4 linked regions of the Arabidopsis thaliana genome follow. The protein of the gene in region 1 purifies or fractionates together with the protein of each later gene. This does not show direct contact. Each region holds a gene or a part of one and is shown on either strand. Other genes may lie near its edges. The genes, in order: AT1G63210, AT4G32175, AT2G25355 and MCM3.

Region 1 (6,146 bases):
AGAGGGGGAGTGCATGTGCATTCTAAATTACTAGAAAACACTAATTGAGTAATTGTAATGACCACGGGTCCACGGCCTTCTCGACCACCAACACGTTTTGCATTCTTGAATGACCGTGCTTTCAAAATTTGCGTGTACGTAGCATGTGAACATAGAGGGTTACAAACTTGCATCACTTTTTAAAAAATCATCATGTGATAGCATAAGATGACAAAAGAGAAACGATGTAACAAACAATATTGTTTTTGGTTATCCAGTGGAGATGATTATACTAATATATTCTGCAGAATCACTCTATTTTTGGACACCTTTTAGCCAATATTAGAACAATATCTATTGGAACCCACCCAACGACACGTCTTCACGAATTTCTCAACAAAAAAAAATACTTATACCAAAAGCTAATTTTGTTGAGTGTGATTTTCAAAAGTAAAATGGTTGAAAATTCAAGACACTTCTTTTCATGAATTAATAATGCATATACAAACTCCATGTGATTTCAGTCCGTTTGGTTTTTCCATTTTTTTCTCATTTTTCGTAAATAGAAATAACCTCTAAGTATTCTATCGTGTAAGAAAATAATTTAAGTCTAGAGAAACACCTAACCTTTAAATTAAAAATCATTAATTTTATAGAATAATTTCTTTTTTTTGGCAACGTTAAGCGCCTTAATAACTAGGCTTAAATTAAATCCTTTTTTCAAAAGATGTGATATAAGAAATTATCAATAGTAATTTGGTTTGGTGTTGGGGGAGTGAGTGCCCGTTGTAGTTTTGATCAGTCTGGCGTTTGCTTCCGGTTTGGTGCTGTTTGTGCTAGAGTTTCTAATTGGTTCGTGCTTCTAGTGATCTAGCAGTCTCTTCTAAACACTTGTCTTTGGCTCAAACTCGGTTTCTATTGATTCAAGTGATCGTCGGTCTGGTTTGCTTCTTTACTTTTTTCAGTTCTTAGGATTCATTATCCCATCCTCCGTTGTTTGCTTGATCTTTTTTTTTTTTTTTTTTTTTTTGTTTTGCAATTCTTAATTGTTATGGTTTTTTGTGCTATGAATTTTATTAAGTGTTTTCGGTAGATTCTGCTTTAGTTTTCGAGAATTTCTTTGTTTTTTATAGGTTTAATATTTTAAAAATATATTTCACCTATATATTTTATCATTAGTTTATATAATGAAAAAATTAGTGGAAAAAAGAATTATCAATATAAATTTGTATGAATATGAAAAATAAATCTCTTAATGAATCGAAAAAAATACCAAATATATTAATTAAATATCAGCTAAAAAAAGAGTTTCATAAATATTTTTAAAAATAAGAAATGCTTCAAAACTTCAATTAGTAGCCTCTTAATGCTGGTGTGAACCCTAGAAGTACGAAAAGCCTTTTTCTTTGTTTCTCTTCGCAAAATTCAGAATCAAATAGAGACTAGTTTTACGATCACAGAGTTTCTAGGGTTGATCTCCATCTTCATCGATTTCGTATAGCTAAATATTCTAACCTAGTCATGAATAGGATCGACGAAGGTACATAAAAAGCTCTGCTTTCAAAAGCCCTAAATTCTCTGTTATTATTATTTTTCTAACGATTCGACTCTGTTTTTGAGACAGAGCCCCAGATTCATGAAGATCCAGTGGAGAACCGTGAGGAAGATGATGAAGACGAAGATGATCAGTATGAGTTTGACGATGGGTTTTTAGTGAATGGTTCTGATGATGGAGAAGAAGAAGAAGAACAGAGACATTGTAGTGAGAAAAAGAGTAGAAGTCGAAGGAAGAAAGACGAATCCTTTACTCTTCACGAAGATGATTATCTACTTCTTAAAGATAACAACGACACTTTCCAAAGAAACAAGTATAAACGTTTGAAGAAATCTTCAGAGGAAGAGGATAAGATCAATAATGATGATGATGATGATGATTTGAGTCACTTCATTGTAGATGAAGATGATCATGGTGCTCAAGGAATGAGGAGGAAGAAAATGAAATATAAGCAAGGAACTGATTCGAACGCTTTACGATACGCTAATGATGTATTTGGTGATCCTGAAGAATTGTTGAAACTTCGGAAAAAGGATTTGAAGTATAACGAAAAGATCGAAAGAAAGTTAGAAGATGAGTTTGAACCAATGGTTCTCTCTGAGAAGTATATGACGGAGAAAGATGATGAAATTAGGAAGCTTGATGTTCCTGAGAGAATGCAGATATTTGAAGAAGCCATTGGAATTGTTTCCCTAGATGACATGAGCATTCAAGAAGAGAGCAACTGGATTTATGCTCGATTGCTTCAAGAACAAGGGCAGGGTTGTTTGATTAATAAGGATGACATTGTGAAGTTTTTAGAGATGTTTCATGTGCAGAAGTTAGAGATACCGTTTATAGCTATGTATCGGAAGGAGCAGTGTCGGAGTTTATTGGACAGTTCTGATGATGATCATGATGGTAGTGATTTCAATCTTGACAAGAAGCTTGAGACCAAGTGGCATAAAGTCTTGTGGATGATTCAAGATTTGGATAGAAAGTGGGTTCTTCTGCGGAAAAGGAAAACCGCGTTGTTTGGTTACTATACCAAACGTTTTGAAGAAGAAACCTGCATGTCTGATCTGAATAAGAGTCTTTTTGAATCTGTTATTAAGTCTCTTCAAGCGGCGGAGACAGAGAGAGAAGTTGATGATGTAGACTCAAAGTTCAACTTGCATTTTCCTCATTGTGAGATCGATGAAGGACAGTACAAGAGGCCGAATAGGAAATCGCAATATAGCATCTGCAGCAAATTTGGGATTAAGGAATTTGCAAACAAGTTTGGTTATAGCGCTGAGCAATTGGGACTAGCGTTGTCTCTTGAGAAAGTTTTTGTTGATGAGCTTGAAGATGCAAAGAAAACACCAGAGGAGATGGCATTGAACTATGAGTGTGCAATGTTTGGAGATTCTCAAGCTGTTCTTAAAGGTGCAAGGCATATGGCTGCGGTTGAGATAAGCTGCGAGCCATCGATTAGAAAGTATGTTCGTGGAATTTTTATGGAGAATGCAGTAGTCTCAACGAGTCCAACACCAGATGGGAATGTGGTTATAGATTCCTTCCATCGGTTTTCTGCGGTTAAGTGGTTAAGCGAGAAGCCATTGAGAAAGTTTGATGGTGTACAATGGCTTCTCATTCAGAAAGCAGAAGAGGAGAAGCTTCTTCAAGTAACTTTCAAGCTGCCTGAGAATCAGATGAATAGGATAATTAGTGAATGCAGTGAACACTATCTAAGTGTTGGTGTTAGTAAGTATGCTCAACTCTGGAACGAGCAGAGGAAATTGATACTGGAGGATGCGGTTCATGGTTTTGTTTTGCCGTCAATGGAGAAAGAAGCAAGATCCTTGCTAACTAGCAGAGCGAAGACTCAGTTGCTTTCAGAGTATGGACAGGTTTTATGGAACAAAGTGTCTTCAGGGCCATATCGAAGGAATAATAATACCTCGGAGGAGGAAGCTGCACCGAGGGTCCTAGCTTGTTGTTGGGGACCTGGAAATCCAGAAACTACATTTGTGATGCTTGATTCATCAGGAGAGCTGGTTGATGTGCTTTACTCAGGTTCCATTGGATTGCGGTCTCGGGATGTAAATGACCAGAAACGTAAAAAAATGGATCAAGATCGTTTTCTAAAGTTTATAAGAGACCATCAACCAGATGTTTTGGCTTTAGCAGCTGTTAATTTGAGTTGTGTACGCCTGAAGGATGAGATTTATGAGGCTATATTCCAAATGGTGGAAGAGCTGCCGTTGAATTATGTAGATGATAGGATTTATGATTTTCCATTGGTTTATGCGGATGAATCTCTTCCTAGGCTATACGAAAATTCTAGAATCTCAAGTGAACAACTACCTCAACAAGCAGGAATTGTGAAACGCGCAGTTTCTCTTGGACGTTATCTCCAGAATCCATTAGCAATGATCTCAACTTTATGCGGTCCAGGTAGAGATATTCTGTCTTGGAAGCTTCATTCTTTTCAAGATTTTCTTGATCCAGATGAGAAGTATGAGATGGTTGAACAAGTTATGGTTGACATAACGAATCAAGTTGGAATCGACATTAATCTGGCTGCGAGCCATGAATGGCTTTTTTCTCCTTTACAGTTTGTTTCAGGTCTTGGTCCTAGGAAAGCTGCATCTTTGCAGAAGTCTCTTGTTAGAGCTGGTTCGATATTTGTCCGCAAGGAACTGATAAATCATGGGATTGGTAAAAAGGTATTCGTAAATGCAGCTGGTTTCTTACGGATTCGTAGGAGCGGGTTGGCTTGTAGTAGCAGCCAATTTATTGATCTGTTGGATGACACTAGAATACATCCCGAATCATACGGTCTTGCGCAAGAATTGGCGAAAGATGTTTATGCTCATGATACTGTAAGAGGTGATGAGGATGATGCAATAGAGATGGCGATAGAGCATGTGAGAGATGAGCCAGCTTCTTTGAGGAAAATCGTTCTTGATGAGTACTTGAGAAGCAAGAACCAAGAGAATAAGAAGGAAACTTATAGTCTGATCATGAGAGAATTAAGCTGTGGATTTCAGGATTGGCGGAGTCTGTTTAAAGAGGTTGATTCAGATGAGGAGTTTTATATGATTTCAGGTGAAACCAAAGAAACTATTGGTGAAGGGAGGATTGTGCAGGCCACTGTTAAGAAAGTGACAAGTGGTAAAGCCAAATGTGTATTAGATTGTGGATTACCTGGGATTCTCTTGAAGGAAGATTACTCAGATGATGGTAGAGATATCGTTGATTTGTCTAACAAACTGTGTGAAGGCGATATCGTTACTTGCAAGGTCAAATCGATTCTAAAGCAAAGGTATCATGTGTTACTTGTCTGCAAAGAAAGCGAAATGAGAAAGCACAGGAATCTCGGGGATGTCGATGATTATTACCACGAGGAGAAACGAAATAGTGTCCTGATAGAGAAAGAGAAAGTTCCTAAAGAAAAGAAGCAGTTTAAGTCTCGGATGATTGTTCATCCTCGGTTTCAGAACATCACTGCCGAGCAAGCAACAGTGTATTTGTCTGATAAGAATATTGGAGAAAGCATTGTTCGTCCAAGCTCACGAGGACTGAATCATTTGACTTTGATGATCAAGATTTCTGATAATGTGTATGCTAACAAGGAGATAATCGAAGGTGAGAAGGAGAACAAAGATATAGTGAGCTTACAACGTATTGGGAAAACACTGAAAATTGGGAATGAAACCTTCGAGGATCTAGATGAGGTTCGTCTTTATATTCTTACAAAATTTCAGTTTTGGTACAAGTGAAAATACTTATGCGTTTTCAATATTTCAGGTAATGGATCGGTATGTTGATCCTTTGGTAACTCATCTTATGACAATGCTAAACCACCGGAAATTTCGGACTGGGACAAAATCGGAAATAGATGATCTTCTTCGGGTTGAGAAGGGTGTGAATCCGAAAATGGTAGTTTACAGTTTTGGTGTTTCTCATGAACATCCAGGGAGCTTTATATTGTCTTACATACGATCCGCAAATCCGCACCACGAGTACATCGGTCTATACCCTAAGGGATTCAAGTTCAGGAAAAGAATGTTTGGGGATCTTGATAAACTGGCTGCTTATTTCAAGAGACATATCGATAATCAATGAACTTGAAGGTACTATTTATCATGTATTCATGAATTTTTCCACTCCTTAGCCCAAAGAATTTCTTAGACTGATTGCTTGCTTTGCAAGAAACCTATATGGGAAATAATAGTTTTGTTTTTGGAACGTTAATTAGGTCTGTTGTTTAGTAGAACTATACAAGTATTCAACTTAAATTTCGTCAAAAGTGTGAAAGATCCCACAAGAAATGTGAAGAGACGAAAGATTTAATTAGTTAGCTTTGTTTATTGCGGACAGAGTGTTGTTTTCAATTCTAACATCTCTGTTTTGTTTCATGGGTTTTTCTTTTCCGTTACTTTTGGGTTAAATGATTGTTTTTAGATTCATTTATGTAACTAATGATGTTCTCTTACTTTTTTTTTTGCAGATTGATTTTAAGGTATGGTTTTTGCTGATGTTTGGTTCAAGCACAAGAGCTACTTTAGTATAGTTAACTTTATATCAGTGACTTTTATGTTGACAATTCAATTACGCCATGAGTCAATTTACTTTTTCCTACTCT
Region 2 (4,692 bases), on another chromosome or scaffold:
CTCTGAGCTTGCAGCCGCTGCCAAAGACGCTGATCTTGTATCTACAAAACCTTCTCTGTTTTCTACCTGACATAAACTTCAAACACATCAAAAAAGAGAAGCTTTGTTCTTTATTTGATGTTTAACAATATTGCAGGTTGTCTTGGAAGGTATGGGAAGAGCACTTCACACCAACTTCAACGCTCAATTCCAATGCGAGGCTCTCAAGGTTTAAACCTCACTTGACAGAAAATTTCAGCTCTAGAACTGTTATTGAAACTTTTGGCTGAAACCTTCTCTTCCTTTTTGGCAGCTAGCAATGGTTAAAAATCAGAGATTGGCTGAGAAGTTGATAAAAGGAAACATATATGATTGTGTATGCAGATACGAGCCTCCCTCGCTTTAACAATGTTATGTATCATTTCTTCAACCTTTAGACTACTGTTGTATACAGATTAAGCATTCGTCATGTGGCATATGTATTTTTATTTAGACTACACTTTTACTGTATAAAATTGTATTTGAATGAATCAAAATCACTTGCTATAAAGAGCATCATGAGGGTTCAGTTACATTTCAAGAACAATAACGTTTAGTCTGAAATTATCGCGAGCAATTTCTCAACCATGATTCTCTGCTGAGTCCCACTTAGAGATTCCGAGTTCATTATTGCATTGGCCACGATAATGACTATACGTGGAGCTGTCGCATTTACCCAAACTCTGCCATTTAAGCCCACAGCTATCTCGAACGAGAGTTTCTTTCCAAGAGCCTCAATGACCGGGCGCGTTGGTGAATTCAACAGCCTATAAGAGATGAGAAAGTAAAGTTGTAATGGCGAAAGAAGATAGATAAAGTATAAGGAGACATTTTTTATGAGGAAGTATATCTCACATTCTTGAAAGACCAGTTGAAGTTTCAAACATGAAACCATCTCTCAAGGGTCCAAATAATGCAGCTTTCCCACTAGCTAATACATAGAAACAAGAGACAATTAGTTTAAAAGGGATTAAGAGAAGCAGCACTGTTTTAGCCTCCAAAGCTTTTAACTTACCCTCGGTACAAGACAGCTCCGGATTCATTCCTATGTTTGTCTTGACAACCCGGAGATAAAGCAGAGTGCCTACCTGTTTAGTACACAAAAATTTGAACATTCCAGAAACAATCAATTCATAGAGAATGTCATATCCCAAATGAGAATTCAAGAGAGCTTCCTGAGTCATCAGAATGTACATGCCTCAAACTTGGGAATATTTCTTCGTGTTCCTCCTTCGAATGCAAGAACTGGCAAAAGTGCTAATTGAGGTCCTTTAATGTCCACCCAAAAATTCTGCAATGACATGATGAGTAAAAGAAACAATTCAGTACTTACTAAGGCGATGTTAGTTCATGCAAGAAAGCTTAACTGCAGCTGATAATTTAAAAGTCAATTAACATTTGTTTGTCCAATAATGGTATCAGTTTTCTTCTGATTTTAGACCATAACTTCAATACTCCCACCTATTTATTTACTGATCCAAGACCATCAACAAACAAGTTCACCTTTATTGGCTCAGAGAAATGAGGACTGAAGTCGCGGAAACTGACAAACATATATTTGTATCGTATTTGACAACTAAAGTATAATAAAATGCTTTCAGAGATGACCAGTCTGAGAGGGATCCAAAAACAACACAAGAATCTATACAAGCAATGATTTCAAAGGACTTACATCTGCCCTAGAATCGACCACGATTCCAAGAACATGATCATCAGGGCGAGGTATATACTGCAAAAAAAAAACATAATAACAGAGTCAGCAACAAAGAGAACGAGACTTACATAGATAATTAACAAAACAATATTCTACTAGAGTTTTGAAAACCAAAAATGGTAAATTGTCTTATCAAGCCAGATGTATATGATCAAATAACTAGGGAGAAAACTAGCAAGAATGATCCACAAAAGCATCAAATTGTCAAAATGCTACAAAAGGCAAATCTTCAATTCTTCATGATGCAATTGTGCCAGGTTATTTGTTACTTTTCTACTCATGATTAATCAAGTGGACCTAGTATCCGAGCAGATGACACAGTTATAATCCACAAGAAGCTCAATAGAGAAGCAACCAGAAAGGGAAGATTAGTAAGACCACTGAGCTCACCCGTTTATGAGAACTTTCGAGCCAATACTTATTAGGCTTGGAGTAACTTAATTTGCCAGCTCTCATGGCAGAGATAGCATCATTATCCTAAAATAAGCCAAAAAAACAAACACATGTCAATCTACAATTCCTTTTTAGTTGCAATTGTATATCACAAATCAAGTGCCCACTGGAATAATTGTTAGGATTCAAACAACACATAAGAAAGAGAAGAAGATGAAACCTGAAGAAGGCCACTTCCGAGCTTGATTGTTTGGTTATTCATGTTTGACAAATCAAGAACAACATCACCTGGAACCTAAAAATTGAAAACACCATGCTTCATTGTAACCAAATCGAATCGAAATCATAAAAAAGCCAACTTTTTAGAGATATACGGACCACAATCTGATTTAAGAGGCTTGTGGGAGAGACAGAAACTTTGGCAGCCATGAGTGAGGTGGGTTTTGGAGATAAGAACCCTAATATATGTTAAACTCTGTTAAAGCTTGTTCCTTGACGACGATGAGAACCCAGAAAGGAACAACACTGCACAGTCTCTTCTTTTTTTTGCACGCAAATTTTGAACCAAAACTATACCGAACCAGTCAATATTAGGATTTCGGTTTACTTAAACCGTAAAACTAAAAAAAAAAACTAAGAACCAAATCAAAACCAAACCAAAATGATTTTTTTATTTAATACATGAATAATTTCAAGCAGAACATCTCTTAGTAACAGTGATTTGAAGACCATGTTTCATTGACAATATAAAACCAAGAGCTGGCACAATCTTCTGTCCTTGGAGAACCTTAATGTCGTAGTTTCGTAATATCTCCACTGCCACTATCTTCATTTGAGTCATAGCTAGATGTTTACCTAGACAAGTTCTTGGACCGGCATTAAACGACAAAAACTTGAAGGAAGGCTCATGTTTTATGCCTCCATTCTCCGAAATCCATCTCTCTGGCTTGAACTGCGATGCATCTTCTCCCCAAACCGCTCGCATCCTCCCCAATGCATAAAGACAGATAATAATCTTAGAGTTTGCATCAACTTTATGGCCACTTGGAAGCACATCTGATTTGATTGGAGACTTGCGTCCGAAGGAAACTGGTGGGTAGAGTCTCATTGCTTCACACAACGCACCATGTAAATACACCAACTTGTCTACATTCTCTTGGCTATTTCCTGTTCTTGATAGATCAGTGTTGATGTTGATCTCTTGATGAATCTTGGCTACCACATGTGGATTTTCAGAGAGAAGCCAGAAGAACCAAGAGAGAGCGGTGGCTGTTGTGTCTCTTCCCGCTAGAATGAAAGCTAAGATGTTGTCTCTAAGGAACTTATCGTCACTCGGATTCAAGAGCTTGTACTTGGTCGTGTCTAGCTTTATGAAGGAAGTTAAAAGATCCTGACTTCCTCCATTGGAAGTCCCTTGTGATCTTTTAATCTCTTCTCTCTTGGCTGATATGTATTTGGCACACACGCGGTCAAAAGTTGCATTAGCTTCAGTGAGCTTCTTCTCTTGTCCGAATCCTATCCAGTTTTGCAGCTTCCACAAGAACCTTGGTTTAAAATGCCTATAAAGAATCCCTTCTCCAACATCGTCGAGAGCTTTAGCAAATTCGTCTTCAGGCATTTCAATGGAGAGAGATCTAGGATCAGAACCAGTTACAAGGATGAAAATTGTATCGAAAGTGAACCTCCCGAAGACGCTTTGCAAGTCAAGAGTTGTTCCTTCCTCAGCAAAATGATTAAGAAGGGGAACAAGACCGTACTTGAGTTTACTTGTCATGGTACTCATTGAAAACCTTTGAAACTCTTGACTATGGAGCATGGCTTGATAAGATTTCCTCATATTCTTCCATAGCTCCGAGTCCGTGGTGATGAAACTGTCTCCTAACACATCAAAAACATCTTGGAACTCCGGTCCTTTGATGTAGTTTGAGAAATTTGAGCTCATTATATGATGAATGTTAGCTGGATCAACCGTGAGCAACATATCCATTCCTGTGAACCGCGGTCCTTTGAATGGAAAGGTCAAGTCAGAGGTTTCGAGAATCTTCACGCTGTAGTCGTAGATTCGGTGAAGCGCCTTGAGCATAGCGGGTAGCATCCGGAGAACCGGCCAGTTCCTAGGGTACCGGCCATGAGGTTTCTTGAAGAGAAAGTAATGAAGGATGAGAAAGCAAAGGATAGCTACGGAAACTTGAAGTAAGCTTATTGAAGCCATTGGAGTAAGGCAATTGATAACACACAGTTTGCTGACACAATGAGAACTAAATTTATAAGCATACACTTCAGGGCACAAGTAAGGAGATGCTTTTTAAAATACACACTAAATTTCGTTATATGCACAAACTGCAAAGCACGTTTAATGCATGTATATCATCAAATTAGAAACTTGTATTAAATTGCCAATGACACCTAACTTTTTATTTTTGTGATAATACACCTAAGTGTTTCAATAATTTGAAAACTGTTATAATTGCCCCTTGTAACTTTATCAACTAATCAAAACTTATTGAAACCATTAGAGAATGAGCTGGATTCACGCACATAGACTTTTGAGTGTGCTCTATGAGCGC
Region 3 (4,884 bases), on another chromosome or scaffold:
CTAGTATCTTGAGCTCCATTGTACATAGCCAGCTGGATGTTAATCATGATATATCTGTTGGTAACCTGGAGATACCGGGTAATGGACGAATAGTTCTCCCGCTGAAAATGCATAGTAAATTAAATAGGATTCTATTAACTATGAATGAGAGACTTCTCAATTCAAAAACAGACATGGAGGATCTTATAGCGAGACTAAATCAAGAGACAGCGGTGAAGGAATATCTGAACAGAAAGGTACATGATTGAAAATAATAGTACATCTGTTTTCAAGTTTGTTGGTAATGAAATCTGCGCTTCTTCCTTTACTCTTCATGCGAATGTCATATATGTAATCTTGGTTTTCCTGTTCAGGTTGATGATCTGGAAGTGGAACTTGAAACTACTAAACAGAGAAACAAAGAGAATTTGGAGCAAGCTTTGATGACCGAGAGACAGAGTGTTACCAAGATGCAGTGGGATATGGAAGAACTCAGGCAAAAAACTTTTGAGATGGAACTGAAGTTAAAGTCAAAAGAGGTATTGAAATTTGAAATAGTTCCATCTCAATCACATTCTTTCCACAATTAAGCAAGTTCACATCGAGCGAGTAATTTATATCTAGCAAAGTAACTTACTGACACCTGCAAACTAATACAGGATGGGAGTTCAGATTCTAAGACGTCAGGAAACTCAACAATCTCTGAGAGCCATGAGCTGTTACAAGAAATGGATGCCACAAAACAGCAACTGGAAGATCTTTCTAGACGGTATGTTGAACTGGAGGCAAAATCAAAGGCAGACATAAAAGTGCTTGTCAGAGAGGTCAAATCCCTGAGACGTTCACATATGGAAATGGAAAAGGAACTGACTCGATCGCTGACAGAGAAGTCTGACACTGAGGTAAATCTTAAGCTTGTAAATAAAAAGCATTATATTATTGCTTGCATCATCCGCTTGTGGTAAATGTATATGATCCTACAGAAAGAACATCAAAACATACTGAAACATGTTTAATTTTTTCAGAAACTCCTCCAACAGGAAAGGATAATAGTCGAGAACACGCTAGAAGCAAGAAGAAGGCTGTATAGTGACTGTGAAATTCTCCACGACAGGCTTAAAGTGAACAACACAAACTTGTCAATGGATGAGTCCAGTAACAACAGAGAAGACTTATCTGAAGTATCAAATGCCTTGCAAGATCAGATTGAGGTAAGCTATTGGTGCATCTCCTTTAATATCTGTAGCAAGAAAAATCGTATTCAAATGTTTACATTCGATAACCATGGCTCAAAATCGCCAAGCTGGATTCCTCGTTTTAAATTTGAAAGTGGCATATTTTCAGGCGCAACTGCTGTTAGGGTTTGATGAGACTGCTTCTGAGGATGAGCTGAGGAAGATAATGGCAGATATGTATGAGGACTGAGGAGAATATCAAATTGAGAAAACATTTGAATTCCGCAATGCAGGTTAAGAGCTCTGTGAAAGAGGAAAACGAAAAACGCAGAAGGTGAAGAGCTTATAGAATAGATATACCATGTACAGAGAAAAGTAGAGCAGAAAGTTGGTTAGTGACGTAAATCCCTTATTTTGAATATGCGAGTCAGATTCTTCTTTATGTAATTAATTGATGTATATGCACACACATGTCTACATCAGATCACCTAATCCATTGTAAAATTCGAAACCATCAGTGTCATTGTTTCTTGTTCACCAAAAACAACTACCATCCATCACTCATGGTCCACAGAGCAGTCGTTGAAAATCAGTGAAAGAAGTGTCATTTTGTCCCAAAAAAAAAGGAAGGACGAAGGAGACTTTTTAGTTGACCAAATCATATGGATCTACTAAACCGAAATAAACCACTCATAACCATTATAGTAAATTACTTGGTTCGGAGTTTTTAATTTCCGATCGTCTTCAACATCACCAAAGCAAAAAACTTTAGGGTTTTAGTGTTTTTTAGGGTTCTTCTTTCTCTCTACCTCTCAGTTCTGCTTTTGCTCTGTCTCCCTTCATTGGATAAATCAATTGGTGTTGTTAGCGAAGAAATAAGAAAGATGGGTACTGAAGTTTCTACCTCGCCGACAAGCCTCATTGATCAGACTGTTGTGCGTATTTTCTACTAAAACCTCTGCTTCTTTGATTATCGTTTTAGATTGGGATTACATTGAAAGATTAAGTTTTGTGAGATGGGTTTCAGGTTCCAGGTGATGTTGTTCTCGATTTATCAAACATGACTAACCAAACAATCAAACTCGGCAGTGGTCTCCGTCAGGTTTTTAACTTTCTCAAAATCACTTGTTCCAAATCTTCGATCATTTTTTTGGAGTTTGAAATTTGTTGTGTTGAGTGTATGAATGAATTAATGAATGTTTTGCTCATTATTAAACAAGTTATGTTGAATTTTGGATCTTGCATTGGCATTTGAGGAATAAACTTAATTTGGAATCTACAGTTTGCTTTTTGTTGGGCTTGCAAGGCTAGAAGATTGACATATGATTTTGAGGTTTTTTCAGGATAATGAGGTGATATCTGTTATGAGAGCTGGGAAGTTGAGGTACTCTAAGCCAAATAAGTATTGGGTGGAAAGTTCTCATAAAAGGGTGAGAACTAATTAGTTTCTTGCTGGTTGTATTTTGCAATAAATTGGTACCTTTTTCCTGATATCTCCTAGCTCTACTAGTTATTCGATTGTTCATCTGCGCTTAACTTGTCGAAAAAGTGGTGGTTTTGCTCTCTAGTTTGAAGAATTACTCCATGTTACTCGATTTTGACTCTGTTATTATGTTTTTTTTGCAGTATGTACCTCGTCCTGAGGATCATGTTCTTGGCATTGTGGTAGATTGTAAAGGAGAAGTAAGTACTCTAAAGACGATCCTTAAATTTTTGTTAGAGATCCTTTTCCCTTGGACCCTCTGAATCAAGCATTTTTTCTCTGTATACAGTTCATTTAATGCAAAAATCATGTATAAAGAATATTGATTTCGGTTGTGCTCTATCATTATCCAACTTCTATCATTGCTCAGCTTGTTTGTTAGTTACATGTATATGTTAATAAATACTTGAGATCATGGATAAAGAAAACGGCATAAGCCTTTATTTAGAGTGTTGCCCCTAGAGTTCTCAGCCAAAGTCATGTTGCATGTAACAAAGTAGATCATAATATTTTGAAAATCGTTTTGACACATGTTTCATTGCAGAACTATTGGATAGACATTAAAGGACCACAATTGGCTCTTTTGCCTGTGCTTGCATTTGAAGGAGCAAACAGAAGAAATTATCCCAAGTTTGAGGCAAGTACCTTCTGAATATACTTCTTCAATCTGAACCATCATCAAAATAGTCTCTAGCTGGTAACTGCATTCAGTTGTTTGAGATGTTAGTATTGCCATTACAGTGTATTGAGAATTTCCCTGGAAATTACAATGGCTTGTGTGTGATATTGAAAGGATCCAGTACTTCATTGGTTTGTTTATGAGCATAATAGGCACTTTTACTTCGTCTGGAGTTGAGCTCATCAACTCTATTTCAAGTGGATTCGCTGTATTAAGTGATAACATAGTGATCACGTGTTTTTGGGAGTTGTGACAATTTGTTGATACAGGTAAGCACTCTGCTTTATACTCGGGTTGTGAAGACAAACACAGGAATGAACCCGGAGCTGTCATGTGTAGACGGTTAGTCCATCCATTCTTTTTTCTCACAAAGTTTAAAAAGTTAAATCATTTCCTTGTTTCTCCGCATTAATTGTTTAGACTAAGCAATTGCTGACTAGAATTGTTGGACAATGTAATAGAAAGTGGAAAGGCTGCAGGATTTGGTCCCTTAAAAGATGGTTTCATGTTTGAAACTTCAACTGGTTTATCTAGAATGTGAGTTTCACTCTTATTCCTTTATTTTTCTTCTAGATGAAGTGGCCTCTTCTCGACTTTTTCTCACTCTTACACTTTGTTCTTATTAGGTTGTTGAGTTCACCAACTTGCCCGGTCCTTGAAGCTCTTGGAAAGAAACTCTCGTTTGAGACTGCGTTTGGCTTAAATGGGAGATGTTGGGTAAGAAAAACAGTGATTGCTTCTTAAGAATCCAAACAATGCAACTGGAAATCGCATGGTTAATATCTTCTGTCTGGTTTCAGGTGCATGCGGCTGCTCCTCGTATAGTGATTATCGTCGCCAATGCGTTGATGAATTCTGAAACTTTAAGCGGGACACAACAGAGAATCATGGTAGAGAAATTGCTGGAGAAAATTTCAGACTGAAAAGTGTGTTGTATGCTTAACAGTATCACTACTTTATAAAAGAAACGTTTTAATTCGCATCTCTTTTTTTAGTATGTAGACTACACTCATATGTTTCTCTTTGAGATAAAAACAAACCAAGATTAAAATTTAAAAGAAACAACATGATTCGTCTAACGATAAATTGATAAGTTTTGGGAGATGGATTAGAGGAACTAGGGTTTGGCAATATTAATTGAAAAATCAATCGATACCAATACAATAACAGTTACAAACATTACGGTGCCTTCATAGCAAAGCAATTAATAAGAATTTATTTGACAACTTCTCTCTTATATATAAGTCTTCAGATTTTCCTACTTGAAACCAAAACGACATGGAGAGACGCGATCAAGACTTGAGTTACTAAAAACGGCGACTAGATTCTACCATAACCGGAGATTTCCCAAACCCTAAAGGCGAGGGTTGTTCTACAGTCGTCCTATCCGACTCTGCTGTGAAGAAGTTTTCAGACAATGTCGTCTACAGATTGTACACCAAGGGTTTGGTGGTGGAAGGTAAGGAAAAGACCGTGAAGTCTGGATTAGAGTTGCGATTTGCGATGAGAAGGAGAATTTGTTGTATGAGATTAAAGAATCACTAAGCGACACTAAGATTAGCTGCATA
Region 4 (6,183 bases), on another chromosome or scaffold:
TTTAAGAATTTAGAATTCTTAGAGTGGAGACAAGTTTCTCTTGCTCATGGCCTTAACATTTCTGAGAAGCTCTGGTCTGAATCAGAGACATGTATGGCCTAACTACGTAAGTTTATTTAGTAACTCAATTGTTTTGACTAGGGTTGATAGAGAAACGTGTGCAGTAACCTACCAAAATAGATTTTGTTATTTGGCAACAAAAAAAAAAATAGATTTTGTTGTATTACTCTGTATACCAAAACTGATTTCAATCCGTCTTTGTGGAATTTAACCTGATTATATGTACAATTTTAGAAACGTATAGGATCCATCATGGACAAAGCAAACATGTTTTGGAAAAAAAAAAAAAAAGTAATAGAGACCAAATGGAAAAACATGGATCTTTTAGACGAGAGAGTTCCAAGGTAGTGATTATTAGGGTTTTGAAGTTGGCTTATATATGGCACAACTCTATTCTTACCATTGGGTTAAAACAACATATACACTATAATCTTGATGTCGATTACATATGTATAAAATTTGGCATAAACAGCTCAAGAAATTATAGGATAAATATGAAAGTATTTTATTCTCGGATTGTGCTTTTCGTTATAAATTCCAAATTTTATAATCAGATGCGTTTTTTTAAGCATTTTATCATCAGTTTTACTTCACTAGTAAATGCAAAAAACATAACGTATGAATAAAGATTTTACAAAATGATATTTTGGTTTCCAAGAGTTTACTACTACACTATTTTTGAGTTCTAATATGATGATGATGATGCAATCAATATTGATTTCTTCATATGATCAAATGATATGAACTTTGCCATCGCTGATCATCACTTTGTTATCATCTTGCAGTTTCTGCATAAAATCCACAATAGAGTAAAGTTATGAAGATATTGTATAAAAAGTTAAAGAATGAGAAAGCTTGTCTCTTAATTTGTGAATTACCTCTAAGAGAGCCATAATCTCATCTGCAGAGTAACGAGATGCTCCAACCCCATTGTTGTTGACAACAGTCTCTATATCTGCAATAGAGATGTCATCGAGCCTGTGTGTCCTCATGTGCTGCCCAAACACTCGCTCAAAGGTTTCAATCCTTGCTGCAGAGACCGTGCCGCTGAATTGCTCTACAGAAGGTTCATCTACTTCCATTGGATCTGCTGTTTCACTGAATGGACCAGCAAAAGAGAAAGAAAAAAGTATAAGGGTTGAGAAAGCTGTGATATAGGTTTCCATGGAGGAGATCAAATTAGTTTACCTGTCGACATTTGCAGTGTCATTCTCTGCTCCATCTTCATTATTCCTGCGTTGGTTGCCTCTACGTCCACTTGGTGTTCTTTCTTGTTCAGCTTGTTCCCTTTGACGTTCTTCTTGCTCACGATCATCCATCTCAGTTAATTCTTGATGATATATTGCAAAGTTCATAAGCTTCAAGGCAGCCTCTGCATCAGCTTTAGTAACCTTTCAAAATAAAGTTATCACTTTAGAAAGAATCTGAATAGAACATATTCACGACCAGGTGGGGAAACAGAAGATTTGAGTTAGATTGTTACCTCGCTACTCAACTTCATTTTGGCATGTGCCGTAGCAAGACGAATTATTGTCTCTAGAGTTCTGGCTGTTATCGGAAGCGTACCTCCAGTCTGCAGAGATTTCGATGGTTGTGTCAAATACAAGTTCCCAAGACGAAAAAGATACAGTGTCCAATGTTATTTTATGAAATAAATTACCTTAGTATCGGAACCTGCATTTCTGAGATCTGCATATGCTTCTGCAATACGTTCCGATGCCTGCAAATTTAATAACAAAAGAGATTTAGTGGAAGAGATTATCAGATACATAAAAATTTATATATTTGAGTTCACTGTCTCACTTCATCAGTGAGCTTTGGTGTAATACGGTGCTTGGCGTAATGAATGTACTTCTTCAAGAACTTAATCGTAAGGGTTTTATCATGTGTTTGGCCTCTTTTCTTCTTCCCATGTAGTGTTTGGTTATACTTAACAAACATTTCACTCTCAGCATTGTCTTCTCTCGCGTAAGGCAAGCTCCCATCTGGCCCTGCCTCACCTATGGTTCACTCAAAAGTCAGATGCGTTTCAAGACATGGGTTGTGAAATGTTTAGTAAAACATAGAAGCATGATTTGTTTCCTACCTCTATCGTTCTTGTAACGATGCATGCGCAAGACATGTTCTGAAATCATGCTGTCGATACCAGCATCCATTTGATCCAACACAATAAACAGTAGATCAAAACGAGAAAGCAGCGAATCTGGAAGTCCAATGTTCTTTGTTGGAGTCAGTGATCTGTCATACTGCAGGAGCAAGAGTAGGTATTAGGACAAAAAAATACTAGTCAGTAGAGTAAGTAGATTAGGAAAACTTCGGTGAGAACTTACAGTTCCGTATATGGGATTTGCAGCTGCAACCACACTGCATCTAGCATTCAGTGATGCATGGATACCGGCTTTTGCAATTGTTACAGTCTGTTGCTCCATCACTTCGTGTATAGCAACTCGGTCCTGATCATTCATCTTATCAAACTCGTCAATGCACACGATACCTTTATCAGCGAGGACCATTGCACCAGCTTCTAGTCTTCGTTCCCCTGATGAAAATGAGAATTTGATTTTAATGAGAAATAGCACTTTTGACCTTCCTTCAAATTTTGATTTTAGCATTTGATAAAAAAATGTGGAAACGCTTTTGTGTGCTTTTTACCTGTTTCTTGGTCAGAAGTCACAGCAGCAGTTAACCCAACACCGGAAGAACCACGGCCTGTGGTTGATATAGCCAAAGGTGCAATATTCATTATCGCTCTCAGAAGTTGAGATTTGGCAACAGATGGATCACCAACCATCATCATGTTGATGTCTCTGAAAGCACAAGATTTGTTTTCAAGTGAAGAAAGAAAAATGAGTTAGACAAAAAGTATCCAATGAGTCGAATCTGAAATCTGTTTTCAAGCAAGACTTACCCCCTCAAGTGGGTTCCGTTCTTCAGGTTCTTTTCAACACCACCAAGCATCAGTAAAACTACTGCTTTCTTTATCCAAGCGTGCCCATAAATAGAAGGTGCTAAGGAACGAGCAAGGAGATCAAATGCATCATCTCTTCGTGCAATATTTTTAATGTTATCTAGGTCTTGCTTAGTGTATATAGGTGCATTTGCTTCTTTATTGAGCAGAGCGATATTATTGGCTATGAGGATAGTCCTACACAGAAAGAACTCGGTCAAGACTATCAGAGTGAAAACATCTTGAACTAACAGATGTGTAAGAAAACGCACCTAAAGACTCCATTTACACTACCCTTGCTTTTTCCAGGAAGAGCTTTGTAAATACCGAAAACAGATACTCGATCTCCTGGCTTGCATGAGTCAACAAGGTCATCCTCAGCAATGACATCAACGCTTCGTGGAAGCTGACCAGGAGCAGCATTTTCAGGCACTTCTTGAATTGACAAGGTCTGGTGATCTTTGTATTTGCACAGCCCATACTCAGTCACCAATAAGTTTCCCTTATCATCCTGAACAAAAAAAAACTCAATCTTCAGTAAGAGGCAAATCTTCCAGCAGTACAGGTAAATGAACAAAACGAAAACAAAAAACATGTAATTACCCTTGTGGGATAGACAGAGCCAGTGGGTAAACCAGCGTGAGATGTTATGTCTCGATAATCTCGATTGGTAAATTCACCGGTTGATGGACAAAAGTGAACGCTTTTAACAACCTTTGGCCTCACAAGAGAGCCTGAAAGCAAAGCATGTGTCAGAGGTTCAAAATCTTCTACGTAAAACACAAAGGAAACAGAAGAAAAGCAGAGGAATAGAGTGAAAATGATGAGCTTACATTTGGTGACAATGCCCTCAACACAGACCATAGATCCAATAAAATCAGAGAGAAGCTCTCTAGGAGTAACAACGCGAGAAACAAAATAACCTTCAAAACCAACAAGGACAAGCTCTCCTTCCTTCAAGTATTTAGGGTCAATAGCACGAGTAGCTTCAGTGGCTGCGTCACAAAATGACTGCATATACTCATTTGGATTCTTCAGTATCCTATCCAAAAAAACCAAAGCAATCAACTTTAAGGTCACAAAACATATGACAATTGTAGTGAATCCTTAAAAATCCCCAAATTAACCTCACTGAATCTAACAAAACCCTAAAATCTGCCGTAAATTCATAACCTTATACTAAAGAACCGATTAAAAATTCGAGGAAGACAAATTGAGAAGATGACGAACCTAGAGGCAACTTCCCTGAAGTGGTGGTGAATGTCAGAGATATTAATAATGAGACGGTGACGCTTTTGATGTACCAAAGCCTTGATTTCCTCCATATACATCTACACAATCCGTAAAAAAAATCCAATTTTTCAAATTAGATAAGAACAGAAGCTCGAGAAATGTCTGGTGAGAAAAGTGATAGAAATCGACTTACACTATCGAGGAACTGGATAAAATCTCGCTTGTGGCGAAGCCTCGTCTCCTCTGGCACATCCATTTCTTAACAAAATCTGGGTTCTTCGTAAGAACTTTTCTTCTTCTACTTAAAAAAAAAAAACTGATTAGAGATTTTCGATTTCCGATTTCGAGAGGCATAAAGGGCGGATCTTCTCCTTATGGCGGGATTTCGTGAGATAACCTGTACCCTTTTTGGCGGGAAGGGTCATTTTGGGCCGATATTAGTTGGGCCTTTCGTCTACGTGCTTTTTGATTAACCAAATTTGGGCCGGTACAATTTTGGACTTACGTCTACGCGCTTGTTTGGCGCGTTTGATTTCCTCAAGGCGGTATAATACACCCAGATTCTAAACCAAAAACCAGACATACCAAATCAATTCATTGTAAATTCGGTTTAACTTTTGCTACTGCCTTCAAGCCAGTAAACCGAAAAATGTATATATGAAAACCAAAATAAACCTGTGTGATTTGAGAACATTTTCGGATGTATCACAACATATGTATAACTGAAAAAAAATTCAGTATAAATCTAATTTCTTCGAATGTAAAAACACGACAAGAATTGTTGAGAAATAAAAGATGAGAATCCCCTAATTGGATTATTCTGACAATAACACCGTTACTACAAGATTCTCTCAGTTTCTGTTTTTATAAATTACGCAAATATGGAACGAACTAAGATACACAACATTCCGCAGACAAGAGAGAGAACAAACAAAATCTGAAATCTCAGCAACCGTAAGAAACGGGGAATGAAAGAACCGCAAAAGGCCAGAGGAAGAGCTCCAACTTGTGAACCAAGAAGCTGCAAGTGGTGGTGATGGATGATGATAGTAACCGATAGGGCAGAGAATCTAAAAGGTATGAAGAAATCAGGGTTTGAAGGCAGAGAAGGCGACTACCGAGTTGTGTCCACCGAACCCGAACGAGTTTGATATGGCTGCAGCAAAACAGAAAGACATTAATCAGTGAAACTGTTGCCAGTTTAATCCAATGAGAAGGCGGTCATGTTTGTCACTTACCAACATCAACCTCGTGTTGCTTCTTCTCGTTTGGGACCGTGTCAAAGTCCACAGCTTGTTCTGGGTTCTACAATGAGAAAACAAAGAGTGTGAGAGTCTAATACAATGACCAAGTTCAAATCTTGCAACAGTTCAAACTGAAAGCGGAATCAAAGAAGCCTTTTCTTGACTTCCTGTTATACGTACAAATTGGTTGATGGAAGGATGCAGCCATCCAGTGTTGATAGCCTTCACGGTGGCGATGGCTTCTAGACCTCCAGCTGCACCGAGGCAGTGACCTATCATAGACTGTAACAGAAACTGTCATTCACAGGAAATGCAAAGCAAACAAATACATTGAAATAGAGGAGAAGAAGAACACTCAATCATAGAGCATTGGGGACGAACCTTGGTGGCGTTGATTTTGATCCCTGAAGTGCTCTTGAATACCTTTTTAATGGCATTAATCTCAGCAAGATCACCAGCAAGAGTGGAAGTTGCATGTGCATTGATGTAATTTACCTGAAAAACGTGGAATGAATATAAGTAGGGAAGTAACACGAATCTAATGAAGAAATTTGTTTCAGATAGCCTTAAAACTTAGGAAGCATGAAAAGTTTGTGTTTTTTACCTCCTCAGGTGATACACCAGCATCTTCCAGGCATCTTTCAATGCATGAAGAAACCCCAAGACCATCAGCTCTTGGATCAGTCATATGGTGAGCAT

Evidence for each region.
Region 2: the proteins of AT1G63210 (region 1) and AT4G32175 fractionate together in Arabidopsis thaliana (co-fractionation; one large-scale study listed by BioGRID). This does not show direct contact.
Region 3: the proteins of AT1G63210 (region 1) and AT2G25355 fractionate together in Arabidopsis thaliana (co-fractionation; one large-scale study listed by BioGRID). This does not show direct contact.
Region 4: the proteins of AT1G63210 (region 1) and MCM3 fractionate together in Arabidopsis thaliana (co-fractionation; one large-scale study listed by BioGRID). This does not show direct contact.

The regions. Positions count from the first base shown.
Region 1 is NC_003070.9:23,441,729-23,447,874, forward strand, and holds AT1G63210 (Transcription elongation factor Spt6), read left to right. Parts: upstream 1-1,959; coding exon 1,960-5,235; intron 5,236-5,308; coding exon 5,309-5,626; downstream 5,627-6,146. UniProt on the Arabidopsis thaliana protein: Transcription elongation factor that enhances the transcription elongation by RNA polymerase II (RNAPII).
Region 2 is NC_003075.7:15,533,417-15,538,108, reverse strand, and holds AT4G32175 (PNAS-3-like protein), read right to left. Parts: upstream 2,676-4,692; 5' UTR 2,555-2,675; coding exon 2,504-2,554; intron 2,421-2,503; coding exon 2,346-2,420; intron 2,210-2,345; coding exon 2,123-2,209; intron 1,748-2,122; coding exon 1,691-1,747; intron 1,310-1,690; coding exon 1,217-1,309; intron 1,107-1,216; coding exon 1,034-1,106; intron 950-1,033; coding exon 874-949; intron 786-873; coding exon 572-785; 3' UTR 507-571; downstream 1-506. Other genes in the region: PANK2 (pantothenate kinase 2), read left to right, coding at 1-37, 137-208, 293-385; CYP96A2 (cytochrome P450, family 96, subfamily A, polypeptide 2), read right to left, coding at 2,817-4,337.
Region 3 is NC_003071.7:10,799,353-10,804,236, forward strand, and holds AT2G25355 (PNAS-3-like protein), read left to right. Parts: upstream 1-1,738; 5' UTR 1,739-2,038; coding exon 2,039-2,089; intron 2,090-2,181; coding exon 2,182-2,256; intron 2,257-2,497; coding exon 2,498-2,584; intron 2,585-2,780; coding exon 2,781-2,837; intron 2,838-3,181; coding exon 3,182-3,274; intron 3,275-3,585; coding exon 3,586-3,658; intron 3,659-3,777; coding exon 3,778-3,853; intron 3,854-3,942; coding exon 3,943-4,033; intron 4,034-4,116; coding exon 4,117-4,239; 3' UTR 4,240-4,370; downstream 4,371-4,884. Other genes in the region: AT2G25350 (Phox (PX) domain-containing protein), read left to right, coding at 1-236, 354-518, 639-881, 1,005-1,346.
Region 4 is NC_003076.8:18,769,111-18,775,293, forward strand, and holds MCM3 (Minichromosome maintenance (MCM2/3/5) family protein), read right to left. Parts: upstream 4,594-6,183; 5' UTR 4,497-4,593; coding exon 4,434-4,496; intron 4,339-4,433; coding exon 4,238-4,338; intron 4,050-4,237; coding exon 3,841-4,049; intron 3,742-3,840; coding exon 3,611-3,741; intron 3,519-3,610; coding exon 3,280-3,518; intron 3,206-3,279; coding exon 2,969-3,205; intron 2,868-2,968; coding exon 2,713-2,867; intron 2,600-2,712; coding exon 2,391-2,599; intron 2,307-2,390; coding exon 2,147-2,306; intron 2,061-2,146; coding exon 1,864-2,060; coding exon of another isoform or gene 1,852-1,863; exon of another isoform or gene 1,781-1,851; coding exon 1,721-1,780; exon of another isoform or gene 1,634-1,720; coding exon 1,544-1,633; coding exon of another isoform or gene 1,532-1,543; exon of another isoform or gene 1,452-1,531; coding exon 1,249-1,451; coding exon of another isoform or gene 1,245-1,248; exon of another isoform or gene 1,159-1,244; coding exon 939-1,158; intron 849-938; coding exon 792-848; 3' UTR 539-791; downstream 1-538. Other genes in the region: KASI (3-ketoacyl-acyl carrier protein synthase I), read right to left, coding at 5,329-5,396, 5,479-5,545, 5,617-5,766, 5,866-5,979, 6,089-6,183.